3 linked regions of the Coturnix japonica genome follow. The protein of the gene in region 1 binds, or shares a complex with, the protein of each later gene. Links are inferred from orthologs where the notes say so. Each region holds a gene or a part of one and is shown on either strand. Other genes may lie near its edges. The genes, in order: ARL1, GOLGA4 and ARFIP2.

Region 1 (5,122 bases):
AATTACTTTAACTTCTAATACGCAAGTTTAGTGACAAATTTTTTGAGTATTGCATTCTAAAACCATTTATGACAATGTAGAAGAATGATGGTGTCAACATAATTTTAACCTCTGATTTTCTATCACTAGATTCCTTTGGTTCAGAGTCCAGCTTGGATTTCAGCAGTGGACTGAATCGAGTGAGTCAGCATGATATAGATCAGGTGAGATGTAACAGTCTACTGAAAAATATGGAATGCACATTGTTACCATGCAGCTATTGAGAGCAGTCTGACTACCATTCTCCCATATCTCAACAACCTGTGGTAACACCAGCTGTAAATAACTCGATTTAGAACTAATGATGTGTTGCACACTTTTTTTTTACAGAACACTATGAAGCAGGTAGAAACTGAACAGACTGTAAAGTGTGAATATTTACAACAGAATTGATTTATTCCTACACAGAAGTTTAATAGTCTGTGTTAATTGGTTGCAGAAGCAGCAGGAAAAAAAAAAGATCATTTTTATTAAAAACATCCATTGACTTTTCAGCTGCTGTTTGTGGACAAAAAAAGAGCCTATGATCAAAACCCTTTGTAATCTCAAGCACCTTTATAAGAAAAAGTTTTGTTTAATTCCTAAAGATTGTAAAGTATTGTGAAAAAGCTGGTAGGTATTGACAGGTGATGGATAAGCATGCTCTAGAATGATAAGATTTTTGTATTGTTGACTGAACCAAATCTCTGTTTCTCAGCTTCAGATTGAAACCGCCAACAGTTTTGGTGAATCCCTACAGAAGAAACTTCTGGACATTGAGGGGTTATATTCGAAGGTTCGGTCACGTTACACCTTTATTCAAGCTCTTGTAAGACGTATCCGTGGTCTTCTAAGGATATCAAGGACCTAAAGACTGATATATGAAGCTTGCCCCTTGAAGCTGTGTACTTGGGCAGGCCTTCTGGATCATTGCATTTTATAGATGACTCATTTTCTAAAGAATGTCAAAAAAAAACCCCAACATTTTTGTTACTTTTTTTTTTCCTTATCCCTTTGGATCAGTTTTGTGCATTCTTTCTTACTGCTCCCAACTTGAAAGGAAAAATAAAGAATCATTTTTAAGCGAGTTCTGATTCATATAAGAACTAAAGCAAGAAAGAATTCCAATGGAGGACATAAAGGAAGCAAAAGCTGTTCTGTGACTGCAATGATACTATACATAAGGAAACAAAAGCTGTTCTGTGACTGCGATGATACTGTATGTTCGGATGCTCTCAGAGACAATGGAAAGGTTTGTCTATTCGTACTGTTCTTGCTTCACACACGTTTAATGTGATCAGACTCTTTGATATGGATTTTATGAGAAAGGTGACCATTTTGCACTGTAAGCTGCTTGTTTATCTTCCCCAGTGCCCTGCCTTTTTTCAGCTGACACGGAAACAAGCTTCTCTTTGGAGAACTGTAGGAACAAGGAATAAATAATCATGGGGAAGGGCATAGAAGGTGGCAGCCGGTACAGCCGCCCTTGTAACGCCATGGGCGCATGAGAGGCGGGCTGTGTGGGGGACGGGGGAGGGATTAGGCCGCGCCGCGCTCATTTCCGCACACGCCGCTTCCGCATCAGCAGATTCGTCACTTTTCCTCGTAGGCCCGCTTGATTAATTTCATCTTATTTCTCCTCCCTTTTTCCTCCCGTCCCGCGTACCTCTGTACCGAGAGGCTTCAGGTCTCCCTGCGTTCTGTTTCCCCTTCTTCCTTGGAGGCAGAGGCAGTCCCATCCCCGTGTCGAAACGGCGAAGTTGGGGGGGGGCCGCTTCCTTTACTCGCCGCGGCGTGCGACGTGGAGCTGACAGGAGCGGCAGGGCGGGCAGGGCCCGGCGCAGCGGCTCGACATGGGTGAGGGCTGCGGGGCAATGGGGGGCTGTGGTGCGCCGAGTTGTGCTGTGGTGCTGAGTTGTGTCGTGGTGCTGAGTATTGAGGGAGGCGACACCCTGGGTGTGGGGCTTGGGCCGTCCGCTCGGGTCTGACCTACGGACGTGGCGTTAGAGCAGCGCGTTCAGTCCCGTGAGGGGGCACGGAGCGGGGCAGCGCCTGCGGCCTTTGTGCACATGGATGCGATGGGGGGCTGGCAGCGCGACTCTATGAGCAACAAGCAACAAAACTGCGCTTCCATTGAAGGAACGAGAAGCGGGTGGGCCCGGGAGGCACGTTACGGCTCAGGGGGAGTCATTCCTTGCACCGCAGTGTTCCTGTGCGGTGGGTCGGTGGAGTTGGGAAGGCAGAGGCCGATGCAAACAAAGGAGGAGGCTCAGATTTTGGCAAAGGAGCAGACTAACCGCAATGAGGAAGCTTAGTGCTGCTGCAAGCTTCGTTTTGTCCGGGGAGATTTGTGATAGAATAATGGCATAAGACCATGAGGGAAGGATGTGGTTCAGCACTCACAACTTGCCTTTTTTCCCTCTGAATGTGAGAGATGTGCTGTGCTGTTCAGTAAGCAGGACAGACTCTGCTTTGCCAGCTGACCTGGAGGTGCCTTTCTGTTCTGCTTCTGTTTTTTGTAGGGGGCTTTTTCTCCACCATCTTTTCCAGTTTGTTTGGAACTCGAGAGATGAGGATTCTCATCCTGGGGCTGGATGGAGCTGGGAAAACAACCATCCTGTACAGGCTACAGGTTGGAGAAGTTGTTACCACCATTCCAAGTAAGCAGTCGATCCGTTACTAAACAGCTGATTTGTTGGCTCTGGAATGTCAGCTTGGTCAACCGAACTCACAAGTGCTTACTTTGTAAACTAAAGCACCTTATATTGTTGCAGCCTGGCACTTACATTTAAGAACTTTCTCACATGATGCTCTTGTGGTGAGCTATACAGATACAACAAAAAAGGCATCTCTTATGCTACTCTGCTGAATACTTGGCCTCAAGGTTGCTACCACCATTGACAGTTAGTGTTCATGCTGTCATACCTCCATGTAACAAACACTGAGGTTTGTGTGCTGAAATTTTCTGGCTGAGATCATAGGATCATAGAATAGTTTGGGTTGAAAGGGACATTTAAGATCATCTGCTTCAAACCCCCTGCTACAGGCAGGGACACCTGACCAGGTTGCTCAGAGCCCCATCCAGCCTGGCCTTGAATATTTCCAGGGAGGGAGCATCCACAGCCATGATGAGCAACCTGTTCCAGTGTCTCACCACCCTCACAGTAAAGAATTTCTTCCTGATATCTACTCTAAATTGTAGTGTAACATGAACTGGATTGTGGTGTAACATGAAGGACAAGGAATGCTGGCTGTTGAATCCTTGCCACATCTCTAGAAGTCTTCCTGAATGGCTGCAGCAAACTGACTGATTGGGGTCAGGTCTTTCAGGCAGTCAATGTTCTTTTGTTTTCCTGCTCTGTGTTTCTCTGTAGTGGCAGGGAAGGGAATGACAGCTGTATGTGCTGTATCTTTACTGCCATCTTCCAGATATCATGATATGAAGTCTTGTGCTGAGAAGCAGTCTTTGCTGTGGTCTTTTGAGGCCGCAGATCTGGTGCTGACATGTAGGATATGTTCCTTAATGTTCTACTGCTGTCAGTTGTGTACTTGGTTATCAAAGCAAGCCACTCCTTGAACTGCTGCTTTGTTTCCTTTGACGCTTTCAAGCACGTTTCTGTTGATTTATAACAACTTCAGCATTTGTTGGTGGGGTCTCCATAATATGTTTATGATGCATCATTTTCAGCCATAAACTCCTCAAAGGACGTGAGCATCACTATGTTGCTCATGAAATTTTTAGGCATCATGATTTTAAACTAAATGTATTTCGGGGGGGAGGGGGGGACAAAAACAAGGATCATCAATAAAATGGTGTAACTTTGTTTCAGCAATTGGCTTCAATGTTGAAACAGTGACATACAAGAACCTGAAATTTCAAGTTTGGGACCTGGGAGGACAGACAAGCATCAGGTAACACCTGTCTGAAAATGAAAAGATATCATTATATTCCAGTTAAAAGTGCTTTGAACGCTACTCAGTAAGGAGCAGCGCTCGTTTCCTTTCCCTTTTTAGCTCCAGCTATCTTGAAAAAGATGGTTTGTTGTGACACTCAGTAATTAACTACCTATATGAATGAGCTGTTTAAATTAACTCCTCTTAGTTTTTGCTGGTGATTATTTGTGCCACGCTGGTCCTTTTCATAACCTCGTGATGATCAGTTCTTCCTATCTTTCACCCCAGAGACGGTTTTTACTTCCTCTGGTTGGTTTTTTGTTCTGTGGCTGTAGAGAACGTCTGAACCTTCATATGGCCTTTTTTGTCTCCTGCAGGCCATACTGGCGGTGTTACTATTCCAATACAGACGCAGTCATTTATGTGGTGGACAGCTGTGATCGAGACAGAATTGGCACTTCCAAATCAGAGCTTGTTGCCATGCTGGAGGTAAGAAAATGAGAATGATGGTCATATCAGTGAAATGAAGCTGCAGTTCTTGGAGCAAATGTGAAACTTGATTCAGTGAATCACATTCGGTTGTCAAATTTTAGCCCTCAGAACAGGCCCATGCAGTGCTTCTAACTGAAGCAACCTCAATGTGCTGTGGGTATTTTATGTCTGCGCAGTAATTCTCTGGACATTACATGTAGCCTTTTGGTCACATGAAAACTTGCCTGTCCACAAGAACAGCTGCTCAGTGCATCAGTGGTAGAAAATCAGGCCCTGAAGGAATTCCAGTGGAGTCCTACTGGGTAGTGAAGCTGAAAAACATGCCCAGAATGGTAATAAAGGGAAGATGTGTTAAGTGCAACTTTGTTTTTCTTCCAAAAGCGCTGCAAGCTTTTTAATAGTGTGCCTTATTAAATCTGCCTCCTGTTTACAGAGTGCTGTTACCTTATGAAATCTGCCTTGTTTTGAAAGTGCTTCTATGCCAAGTGAGAGCAATTGGAATTCAAAATAGGAGTCATTCTTTTGGTAGCGCACTCAAATGGACAGACTGGAGGAGAGAGTCACGATAGGAGCTGCTTTTTGTCCTACGGGTTTTCTCTGCATAAATAAATGTAGTAAAAAATCCTGGCAAACAATTTGGTGCGTGATTCCTGTTTCTTAGGAAGAAGAATTGAAGAAAGCCATCTTGGTGGTGTTTGCGAACAAGCAGGACATGGAA
Region 2 (5,170 bases), on another chromosome or scaffold:
TATCTATCATATCCAGAACTGTGCAGAAGTACATTTATCTTTTACCGACTTACCCTCTAGAAATAAAGTACTCTTCAGTTGCATAAAGGGTTTTGTCACCCAGAAGGGGTGGGAATTAAAGTGATTCCAGACAATTCCCCCAGGACTTCACTGAGCTTGGAGTAAATTCTTTGTATACTGAAATCAAACTTGCCCAGACACTACAAAATGAAAAGGTTTATGAAGGTATTTTGGGAAATTATCAGATGTATCTTCAGAATTTGAATATATATATTCAGAACACAACAATGAAATTTAGCAAGGAAATAATACAGAGCTTGCTTTCATGTTTTGTACATTTTATAAAAAAAATGAACAAAGTTATAAATGCTATAAAAAAAGTAAATGTAAAGGAACAATGACAAAAGTAAGGACAGGAAGTGGCAATAGTGGTAGAAGACACGGTTAGAAAAAGAAGAAGAAAAACTTGACTTACTCCATTGATATCTGGACAGATAGTCCGCCAGGATAATAATGTCCTGAAAGACGAAAGGCAGCTGTAAGCTCTGCTTTTCTATCTTTTTACTGTATGAGTTAGTTTCCTTTTAATATGCATCTAGCCATCAAATTTACACAGTACACTTAGTGACGAATTTAAAATTAGAGTATAATTACTGGTGCTGCAGAGACCAAGCAGCACTGTGGAAAAGCACAGAGGTGTGGTAACCAGGGATGTGTTGGGAGGCTGGAGGTGAGGCTAGAGGTGCAGTGGTTAGAGAGTTTCCCAGAGCACTCCTTGGGCAGTGCCCTCACTTGCTACCTGGGAATGGTCTGTGCTACTGCATGCCAGGTGTAGAGGGAATAGAAGCCATCTGACACAAGTAGCAATTTTTCCCATTTTAGAACCACAGTTAAAAATAATCACCCGCTCCACATCATTACCTTGTGGGCTGCTTTTCAGGTATTTTTGCCCTCTTAGTCTCAGAAACAGTTTCTTATACCTCTATTTACAAGGCTACCTATACACAAGTATCACAACAAGTCATTCAGTTTATCTACTGCTAAACAGACTGTTGAATATTTTTTTTCACATGCAAAAAAAAAAAGTTAGGAAAAACTATATATATATTTCCTGTGAATGTATCTTGCTGATTTTGTGGTCAGTGCACAGCAAAACTATACATCTACATTTTTTTTCTCAAATTACTTAAAGGTGACAGCAATGTATTTCAGTGCAAACATGTCAGGGTGCTTGTGATTTCCAAGTGCATTTTTCAGTGCTATATAGAAGACACATGGTTCAGCATTTCTTGCAAATCCCATCATGTATTTCCAGCCTTCACATGACATCACTGGCAACATGGCAGTTTTGAAATAATCTCATTGTTGGAGAATGAATGGTACCTGCTTTAATAGCCCTCTGTGTCTCAATGAGAGAACTGAACACACACACACACACTCACACACAATAATAATAATAATAATACGGCAAGTAATCTAAAGCTTCTGCAGTGGCCAAGAACATTGCTCAGTTTCAAATAGAAAACTGCAACTGTGATGCTGTATTCACATCCTATTTGTAAAGAACACACCTCAAGTTTGCAAACAGAGTAGGACACAAAAGGTTTCACAAAGTGACTGCTAGCAGACATGTTTTCAGCCAGCTGCAGAAAGCAGGCCTGTGTGTTTTCCACAGACCTCCACACACCCAGCAATGGGCGCCTTAGAGAAGAGCTTTGTCACACAAGGAAGGATTTAGAAACCTCTGACTGACGTTTTGGTGAGTCATAGGATCACAGGATTTCCCGAGTTGGAAGGAACCCTCGAGGAGCATCGAGTCCTGTCTCCACACAGGACCGCCCAAAATCCAGACCCAATGTATGAGAGCACTGTCCGAACGTTCCTTGAACTCCAGCAGCCTGGCGCCGTGACACTGCCCTGCGGAGCCTATTCCGCACCCCCACCCTTCCAACCAGTGAAGACCCTTTAACCAGTTCCCACTCAGATCTCAGCTCTGTCTCGCCGCACCACGCATTTATCGCTGCCTACCCACTCATCCTCTCAACCACCGCCACTGCGCTCCCCTCCCGGCCCCGCCCGAGGCCCCATGGGGCGGGCCCTGAACCACCCCCGCAGCCGGGCCGGGCCGGGACGAGCCCCAGCGTGGGGAGGGCAGCGAATTCCCGGGGGAAGTTTGTGCCTCGCTGCGCCCCGTACCGCCTCAAGCACTCGGCTCCACGTTGGTCGCGCAGGCGCAGCGACGCGCTCACCTGCTGAGGAAGGGGGGGACCCGAGGACGGTGAGGTGCCGGCCGCGGCCGAGCGGGGCAGGGGCTCGGTTCCAGTGCCATCTCACTGCAGGGGGCAAGAGAAGAGGAGGAGGAGGAGGGCGACGAGGACTACGAGGGAGGCAGCGCGCTCCTCTCGCCGCCGGACCCGCCGCCATGTTCAAGAAGCTGAAGCAGAAGATCAGTGAGGAGCAGGCGCCGCCGCGCGGCGCTGGGGGCCGGGCCGCCCCCCTCCAATCTCAGGTACCATGGGGGCCCGGCGGCGCGGAGGGAGGGCTCGGGGCATGACCCGCCGTGCGGGCAGCGGGAGCGGCCCGGGGGCTTCTGGGCGCCGGCGGGGGGGCGGCACCCTCGACACGCGGCGCTCCGGCCGCACCTCCGGGGCTCTGCGCCCACTGCCGGCCCTGCGAAGGCGGACTGAGAGGTGGGCTAAAGGGCTCGGTATGGAACGGCACGACGAGTGAGACATTGCGGTGCGGGGGGTGCGCGTTGTGGTATGCGCTGGAGTTGTAATTCGGTGTTGAGATCGCTTCTCATTCTAGTGTCTGCCCTTCACATTCCCGAGTCCCTTCTGCTTCCCTCTTTTGGAGGCCTGCTCTGCTCAACTTAGTCCCACGTGTGTGTGTTTTTTTAAGGTAGAAAAGCTGAGAAAAGTGTTGTTCTCAGCTTTACATTTTTTAGTTTGCTGATAATTTAGCTGACTTTTCTTCTCTCTTTTCTCTCTTTTACTTGTACCCCGATAGAAGTGCATAATTAGTATTGGTTTCTAGAAACTACATTTCATAATGAAGTACTGTGCGTTCAGTTTGCTGTGTGCAGTCTTTGGTAGTGGTCATGGCCAGGAATGTTGTGATGATTTCATACATGTGTCGAAGCAGAAATCTTCACTGTACCAGTTCAGAGTTGTGTAAAAGACAAGTTAACTTTACTTCATCAGACTCTGTGCTTAGACGTGTACTGTCAGCCCTTGTCTCTTGAGTTTTTGCTGGGTTAGGAATCCTTTACATCTTGGAATCTAGCAGAGTAAAAGTGATATAAACTCGGCATCGTGCTAATAGCAGGCTGCAGGCAGCAACTGCACTCTTCCGACATATCAGCCATCAGCTGCCTGTGCCTGGCTGGGTGTAACATGATGCATGGGTGATCTGGTGTTGTGTGGGCTCATAGTTTCGACCCTGCTGACATTCAGCTACTTAATATTTGTTTAAATTGCTTATTTGTCAAGTAGGGGCAGTACTTCTGGAGATGGATTGTCTGCAAAGCTCTCTGTAGCTTGTCAAGATTAATTTTAAGCCCTTTCATATCTATTCATTTTGAGTCTTCTCTAGAGAGTTAAAGGAAGTACATTTTTGTCACAGTCAGGTCAGAATAGTGTACTGAATTGGCACATGTGCTGAACTTTCATATACAGTGGAAACAGAGCTGCAGAACCTACTCTTATAAACAGCCAGATCACAGTACTTTGTACACAGTGTTTTCACCCAGTTAGCGGGACACTTGTTACGTGTGTTTTCACTATACATGAGGGCTCACTAGAAATCAACATTGTGGATAAATTTGGGTCCAAATGGGTGTGGTTGCATTTATTTATTTTCTCACATCCACGGTTCAATATATTATAGTCTTTATTTGGTTGTTAAAGCTAATGCGGACTAATGTTAGCACTAATAAGTCTTATGAAGCATAACATACTTTCACTTAGTCTGCTATGGGCAAACTATATAACTATATAACTATATATAAGGTTGACATGAGTGGAGGAGCAGACAGAACAAGAAGAGATTTTTGTTTGTGTGTGAAATAGTTTTCTTGCAGTATTACTTTGATTGATCTCTGGTACTACTAGCAGGAAACTGATGTTAAGTTTGATCCTAAAAGTAGACTGATCTGTTTGTTAGTTCCTGTGCTTTTCAAAATAGATTCTGTGATTGAGGAAGGAGAGTGAAGGTACTAAGGCCTGTAGAGTGTATTGGAGACCTGCAGGGGCGTGGGAAGTGCCTTTGTTCCCCTGCTTTTAGTAGATATATAAAGAAACTGCATTCACTAAATGATGTGCTCTGTCATCACAGCGACTAATAAAACCCAAGTTTTCCAAACATTTGACATTTTTTGTTCTATGGAACTTGTATCTGAATTCATTTTTCCTCTTTTTGTTCGTGTCCTCCCCTTTCACAGGGAGGCCTCACTTGCCATTCCCTCTCAGGGACACATAACTTGTTGGCTGTGTTCTAGCTGTGGTGTCTGAGGCTGTATTTACCACTCTAACACTGATTAAATCCACAGGCACCGTTTCTCCCATCATAACATTCATCTGAATGGTTTTTCACACAAGGTCTTTTTAGGCCTTCCTCTTCCATGTCATTGGTTAGCTAATGGATGTTAGCCCTCTGCATCTGAAAACCTGTCTGATGCAGGACATGTCAGCTTTTGAATGCTGACAGAGAGAAAAAAAACTGCTTTTGCAGTTGCAGGAATCCGTTTGATCTTTCGAACTTCAGTTCCGGAATTCTGCTGTTTGTTGCATAGGATCAATGGTTGCTCCTGCTACCCTGCATGGTGCTCCTAAAGTTACTCCCAATTGTCTAGAGGGATGAGTGCACGAAGCAATAACAAACGTAGAACCAGCCAGGGCAGAGCAAAGAGACGCCTTCATACTCCTTCTGAACAGCAGCTAAGTGCTGATGAACTTTTGGAAATCTTTTTCACGCTGTGTGGTGAGGGCTAGGAGATGTCTTCTTCATATAACTCGCTTTGAGCTGGGTAGTGGAAGGAAATGGAGAGCAGGAATAGGTTGCTGTTGTTGTGACTGATATCCTGACATTCATGTTTCAGAGCATCCAGCTCAGTCATGGTCTTGTGGTAGACATTTCATAAGGAAGAATTTATGTATGCAATCTAAATGAT
Region 3 (5,222 bases), about 130 Mb from region 1:
AACCTTGGTTCTGCCGGATCTCCACCCATGAGCACCACCCACCTGCAGTGCTGTGGCTGACACACACAGCACCCACACTGCAGGCACTGCTCACACAGCTCCCAGCCCTCCCACACAGCCACTATCTGCCGCGGCCTTGGCTCCCTGTGCACAGCTGGGCCTGAGACACAACCTGCCTCCTGTGAGAGGAGAAACAGCCCCAAGCGGGGCCGTGCCTGGAATGCTGTGACAGGGGGGCAGTGGTGCAGCGGGAGCCCATCAGCCGGGTGCTCTCCCGGCAGCTTATGGACTTGCTGGAGAACGTACCCAGTTTATGCTTTGTCCACAAGGTGGAAAATAATCTTAGGGGCCTCCAATGTTCACCAGATCTTTGGTTTTCCCATAGCTTAAGTAACGAAGGTCGACTTGTCTCAATTACTGGCACTTAAAGACCTTACATCTGTGTGCATTTGTCTACTCTTCTAAGTGCCAATGAAACCCATCAGAGGGAAGCCAGGGAACAGGGTATCACAGAATCATAGCATAGAATCACAGCATGGCCTGGGTTGCACACAGTGCTCATCCATCCCAACCCCCTGCTGTGTGCAGGGTCACAACCAGCAGCCAGGGCTGCCCAGAGCCGCATCCAGCCTGGCCTTGAATGCCTGCAGGGCTGGGAGCTGCAGCCTGTGCTGATGCTGCTCCAGCAGCAAGAACACAAAGAAACAGTTCCTAGAAGGAGCAAAGTGGGAACCTTTGCTGGGAGGAAGGTGCCGCTGGCAGCAGGACGCAGCACACAGCGCTGCTTGTGGAGCAGTGTCCGTGTACCCCTGTGACACACTGACAGCACGACACATAAAACGTTTTATTAACCCCATGAAATGGTCAAATACAAACACAAGATGTTCAGTTCTGGACAGCAGGAGCCCAGTCAGTGCTGGATTCCAGCCGGGAGCTGCAGTGCACACAGCAGCTCATACACGTTCCCTTCCTCCTCCTGCCCCCGGTGCCGTTGTGCTGCCGGTTTTGGCCGCCATGTCGGGCAGTCCCGGCTGCTGCTGTGGGTGCAGAGAACGCGGCTCGGCCTGGCCCGGCTGTGACACCGGGCAGTTCAGCGGCTCCACACGGGAGCTGCCATCAGGTGACCGTCCCGCAGCCACCTCCCGGCCACGGCAACGCACCGACCCCGCGGCTCCGTTACGTGCCCGCGGGAGCCGCGTCGGGATCAGCGGGAGCCGCTTCGTGTCCGTCCGGTGCGGCCGGTTCCGCGCTGTGCTCGGTGCGGGCGGCGCGGCGCTGCACGATGCCGGGCATCAAGGACACGTAGGCGCCCATCAGCCGGTGGTTGGAGCGGACCAGCTTCCCGGCGCAGCCGTCCAGGCACCGCTCCTACGGGCGGCACCGGCTCCGTTCGGCTCCGTTCACCCCGTCCCGTCCCGTCCCGTCCCGTCCCGCCCGGTCCCCGCTCACCTCGCGCCGTGACAGCAGCCGGTGCCCGAGGTCGGAGACGCAGCGGCGGAAGCAGAGCTCGGTCATGCGGTTGTACACCAGCAGGAAGTCCCGCAGCTGCAAAACAGCGGCACGTACGGTCACCGGGACGGCCCGGCACCGCCGAACCGGGACGAACCGAACCGAACCGAACCGGGCCGCCCACCATCTTCCCCCCGTCCCCCCACACTCACACTGCGGAGCTGCTGCTGCTGTTCGGCCGCCGCCGCCTCCATGTCGGCCCGCCCCGCGCTGCCGGAAGTACCGGCACTTCCGCCCCGCCGCACTTCCGCTCGGGGATCTACAGCACGTCACTTCCGGCTCGGTCTCCCGGCGCCCCCCGCGCGGGTCGTGACGTAACTTCCGGCGCGTCCGGGCCGAGGCGGATCGAGGCCGCGGAGCCTCCGGGGCGGGGGGGCCCAGCGGGGCCGGGCGGGGCAGGTGGGACATAACGGGACATAACGGGACATAACGGGACGGGCTGGGCTGGGCTGGGCTGGGCTGAAGGTCGGGGTGAAGGTCGGGCCCCGGGTGGGAGCCGGGCTGGGAGCCCCGGTGCCGCCGCAGGGCCCGGCCGTGCAGTGACAGCCCGGCCTTTGGGCCGCCCCGGTCCCGTCCCGGTTCCTGGTGCCGTTGCAGCCGCTGCTCGTGTCGCTCCTGCTCGTCCCGCCCGGGCTCTCGGTGCTCGTTGGCTCCGAGCGGCGGCTGCGAGTCCCGGGCCGGGCCGCAGCGCTGCCCCCAATGCCGGTACCGAGGGGCGGGTCCAGCTCGTGATAACGGCGCTCGGTGCGGGCGGGGCGATGCTCGGAATGTGACCGGACCGGTCCGGCCGGGCCCTGCCGCGCTCTGCCGACGTGGCCCCGAGCCCCGCGCCAGGAGCCGTGGGGAGCTCGGACCGAGGGGACACGAGGAGCCCCGTGAACGAACCGTGTGTCCCCGCAGGCCCTGACCATGTCGGATGGGATCATGAGCAAAGCCGCCACCATGGAGATCCCCATCAGCAGCAACGGGGACGCCGGCAGCCTGCCCGAAGATGACGGCCTGGAGCAGGTGTGGGGCTGCGCCGGGGCCTCACGTCGGCCCCATGGGTTGGGGGTCTGTCCTTGTGCTTCAATTTAATGCTCTGCTCCCCCAGGACCTGCAGCAAGTGATGGTGTCGGGGCCCAACCTCAACGAAACCAGCATCGTGTCTGGTGGCTACGGGGGAACCGCTGAAGGCATCATCCCCACCGGCACCATCAAAGGTACAAACGGCTTCCACAGGGACGGGGCTGTGGGTGGGGGTCAGCTGGGTGTTCTGCTGGAGGCTTTAGGGCTCAGTGCTGGGGTCACAGCCCACCCTGCTGCAGCCCTGAACGGGGCCAGTCTGTGTCCCTGCTCCCAGCAGCTCTGCTCGTAGCTGAGGCCGTCCTGAGTCACAGCCACGTGGCCCTGCAGAGCTCAGCCTCCTCACAGCCCCAGAGCACAGCACTGCTGCCACCCCGCCAATGCTGTGGGGCCCATCCTGGGGGTGTGATTTCCACCCAGCTGCACTTCTTACCCTGCACGTGCCCTTGGCTCACAGGCAGCTGTGGAGATGCCTGGCTCTCTCGTAGATGCAGGGCTTCTGCTGAGGGAGCTGCTCTGCCCTCCTGGGGCACTGGTGTGATGTGTGGGCTCAGCTCTTGGGTATCCAAGAGCCCCAAAGGTGCACAGTACTGGCACAGCTGTGGTGGCTGCACCTGAGAGACACCTTTCAGACAGAGGGGGACAGGGCAGAAGGGTTCTGAGCCCCAGACTCTGCGTTAATGTCCCGTTTTTGCTGTTGCTGCCCACCTGGGAGCCCCAGGCACTTCTGAGCCTGTCTGTAAATGCTCTGTGCTGGAGGGATGGTGTCCACGGGCTTCTGGGGAGCTGCTGCTGCTGCACACCCAGAGCCACAGTCAGTGCAGCTGGAGCAGCTCTGCCCCATCCATCCCTCTCACCCTGTTCCCATTTCATACAAGTCTCTGTCCCAGCTCTTGGCCAGTCTGGCCCATCTGCTGCAAACAACTGTTTTCACTGTGGGTCCTTCCATGTTGTGCCAGGCTGAACGGGTGAATTAACTTAGGCAGAGGGGAGATGAGCTTTTGCTGACAGCCTGCTGTGGCTGGGGGGATATTGTGCAGTGGTTCCCTGTGTCTGTCAGTCCTGGCCTGTCCCAGTTCTCAACCTGGTACGTGTTGATACCAGCCTGGGGATGGGGAGGAAGCAAGAGAGGAGCCTGGGTGCCTCTGACGTGATGCTGTCTGTGCGGCTGCCATCTGTATCTACTGATTTCACATCACTCTTTCATCTGCTCCCCTGCTGCCACCCTTCCTGCACACTCATCCCTGTGTCCTGGTTGCTCCTGCCCTCGTGTCCTTCACACCCCCCCCACCTCTTCCCTCTGCTCACCTCCTGCCAGCCCCTCCATTTCCAGGCTGTCTTGTCCAACCTCACTCACCCCGAGGACCATCCATCTCCCCCAGTGCATCTGCCGCCAGCAGGATGGCCAGCCAGGCTGGTGCTTCAGCAGGTACTGCAGCCACCCCAGCGCCCCATGGTGCGACACAGCCTTTGAGTCCTCCTGTCTCAGGCTTAGGGCCCGGGCTTAAGGCTCCCGTTGTGTGCAGTGTTTCTCAGGGTCAGTTTCTTGCCCTGCTGTGGTGGGGAGCAACCCAAAGCAACCCAGACCCAACCCATGCCTCCCCCAGCAGCAGAGTCTACTCACGGTTCTTGTGCTGGGGGCACACGTGGCACTTCCAAACCACAGTGCACCAGGCAATGAGGCCGAGCTGTGCCTGGCTGTGGGATGCACTGTGTGTCTGCCTGGCCTCTCCTCCACCTCTACCATGCCCCGGAGCACAAGGAGTATTGCCTAGCACAGGAGCACCAGGGCCATTGGTGTGCAGGGCTGTCCCTGCCAGCAGCTCTGCAAGTGAAAGGGGGAACAGCATCTCCCATGTGGGCAGCAGCCAATGCAGTGAGCACCAGGGCCTTGGTTATCAATGTCTAGTAGGGTTTTGGGGGCCAGATTCTGTGCTGCAAGAGGCCAAGTCCTGCTGCTTGCAGGCAGGTGACAAATCACAGGACACTGAGGGCTCTGTTGAGCCTGGTAGCAGTGCCTGACTGGCAGGGGGGAGCCGCTGCCTGCCTGCATCTCATGGGGCTGCCCAGGGTGGATCTGCCTGCACCAGGAGTCTGCTCTGCTTGCACTTCATCAGGCCGCAGTGTGGCCCTGGGAGCAGCAGCCCTGAGAGCACTGCAGTGTGGGGTGGGCAGCCTGGCCTGCATCCAAGCCCTGTGCTGAGCCTCACTGCTGTGCTGTGTTCCAGGCTCTGGGCTTCACCAGCCTCATCCCAGCCCACCGGTCGGAGGGGAGGAGGTTGTTCGCGGCATCGCTGTGGAGAAGTTTGACATTGTCAAGAAATGGGGCATCAACACATACAAGGTACGTCGCATCCCTGGCTGATCAATACATACAAGGTATGTCACATCTCTGGCTGTGCAGCAGGGCAGAGAACTTGGGCAGGGGACAAAGGAGCAGTGATGGATGGGGAGCACATCTCGGCACCAGTGCAGCAGCCCTACAGGGATGGGAAGGGACCAGGCCCTGACACCCCTTCCCTCTGCTCTGCCCGCAGTGCACCAAACAGCTGATCTCAGAGAGGTTTGGCCGGGGCTCCCGCACGGTGGACCTGGAGCTGGAGACACAGATTGAACTGCTCCGGGAGACAAAGCGCAAGTACGAGTGT

What was found.
Region 2: the proteins of ARL1 (region 1) and GOLGA4 are in contact, whole or in part, in a crystal structure (PDB 1UPT), measured with the Homo sapiens proteins. The link is inferred for Coturnix japonica from reciprocal best matches to the Homo sapiens genes ARL1 and GOLGA4. Residues at the interface, in NP_001168.1 of Homo sapiens: Ile49, Gly50, Phe51, Gln64, Trp66, Ser73, Ile74, Pro76, Tyr77, Cys80, Tyr81, Ser83, Glu115; in NP_002069.2 of Homo sapiens: Thr2173, Glu2174, Glu2176, Tyr2177, Lys2180, Val2181, Glu2184, Glu2190, Thr2193, Lys2196, Val2197, Thr2200, Val2201.
Region 3: the proteins of ARL1 (region 1) and ARFIP2 are in contact, whole or in part, in a crystal structure (PDB 4DCN), measured with the Homo sapiens proteins. The link is inferred for Coturnix japonica from reciprocal best matches to the Homo sapiens genes ARL1 and ARFIP2. Residues at the interface, in NP_001168.1 of Homo sapiens: Glu17, Arg19, Gln38, Ile46, Ile49, Gly50, Phe51, Asn52, Val53, Glu54, Thr55, Gln64, Trp66, Ile74, Tyr77, Cys80, Tyr81; in NP_001363487.1 of Homo sapiens: Phe205, Thr212, Lys216, Thr217, Asp220, Asp278, Ile281, Lys282, Phe285, Leu286, Glu288, Asn289, Lys292.

What each region holds. Positions count from the first base shown.
Region 1 is NC_029516.1:43,427,423-43,432,544, reverse strand, and holds the start of ARL1 (ADP-ribosylation factor-like protein 1), read left to right. Parts: upstream 1-1,599; 5' UTR 1,600-1,871; coding exon 1,872-1,875; intron 1,876-2,540; coding exon 2,541-2,678; intron 2,679-3,848; coding exon 3,849-3,930; intron 3,931-4,289; coding exon 4,290-4,401; intron 4,402-5,065; coding exon 5,066-5,122. Other genes in the region: nuclear pore complex protein Nup205, read left to right, coding at 130-203, 737-889. UniProt on the Homo sapiens protein: GTP-binding protein that recruits several effectors, such as golgins, arfaptins and Arf-GEFs to the trans-Golgi network, and modulates their functions at the Golgi complex.
Region 2 is NC_029517.1:77,565,407-77,570,576, forward strand, and holds the start of GOLGA4 (golgin subfamily A member 4), read left to right. Parts: upstream 1-1,762; 5' UTR 1,763-2,086; coding exon 2,087-2,509; intron 2,510-2,669; exon of another isoform or gene 2,670-2,690; intron 2,691-4,784; exon of another isoform or gene 4,785-4,947; coding exon of another isoform or gene 4,948-4,980; intron 4,981-5,170. UniProt on the Homo sapiens protein: Involved in vesicular trafficking at the Golgi apparatus level. May play a role in delivery of transport vesicles containing GPI-linked proteins from the trans-Golgi network through its interaction with MACF1. Involved in endosome-to-Golgi trafficking.
Region 3 is NC_029516.1:174,017,552-174,022,773, forward strand, and holds the start of ARFIP2 (arfaptin-2), read left to right. Parts: upstream 1-1,794; 5' UTR 1,795-1,908; intron 1,909-2,409; 5' UTR 2,410-2,418; coding exon 2,419-2,517; intron 2,518-2,602; coding exon 2,603-2,711; intron 2,712-3,892; coding exon 3,893-4,003; intron 4,004-4,802; coding exon 4,803-4,918; intron 4,919-5,111; coding exon 5,112-5,222. Other genes in the region: TIMM10B (mitochondrial import inner membrane translocase subunit Tim10 B), read right to left, coding at 1,177-1,368, 1,450-1,545, 1,662-1,703. UniProt on the Homo sapiens protein: Plays a role in constitutive metalloproteinase (MMP) secretion from the trans Golgi network. May have important functions during vesicle biogenesis at certain cargo subdomains, which could be predominantly utilized by secreted MMPs, such as MMP7 and MMP2.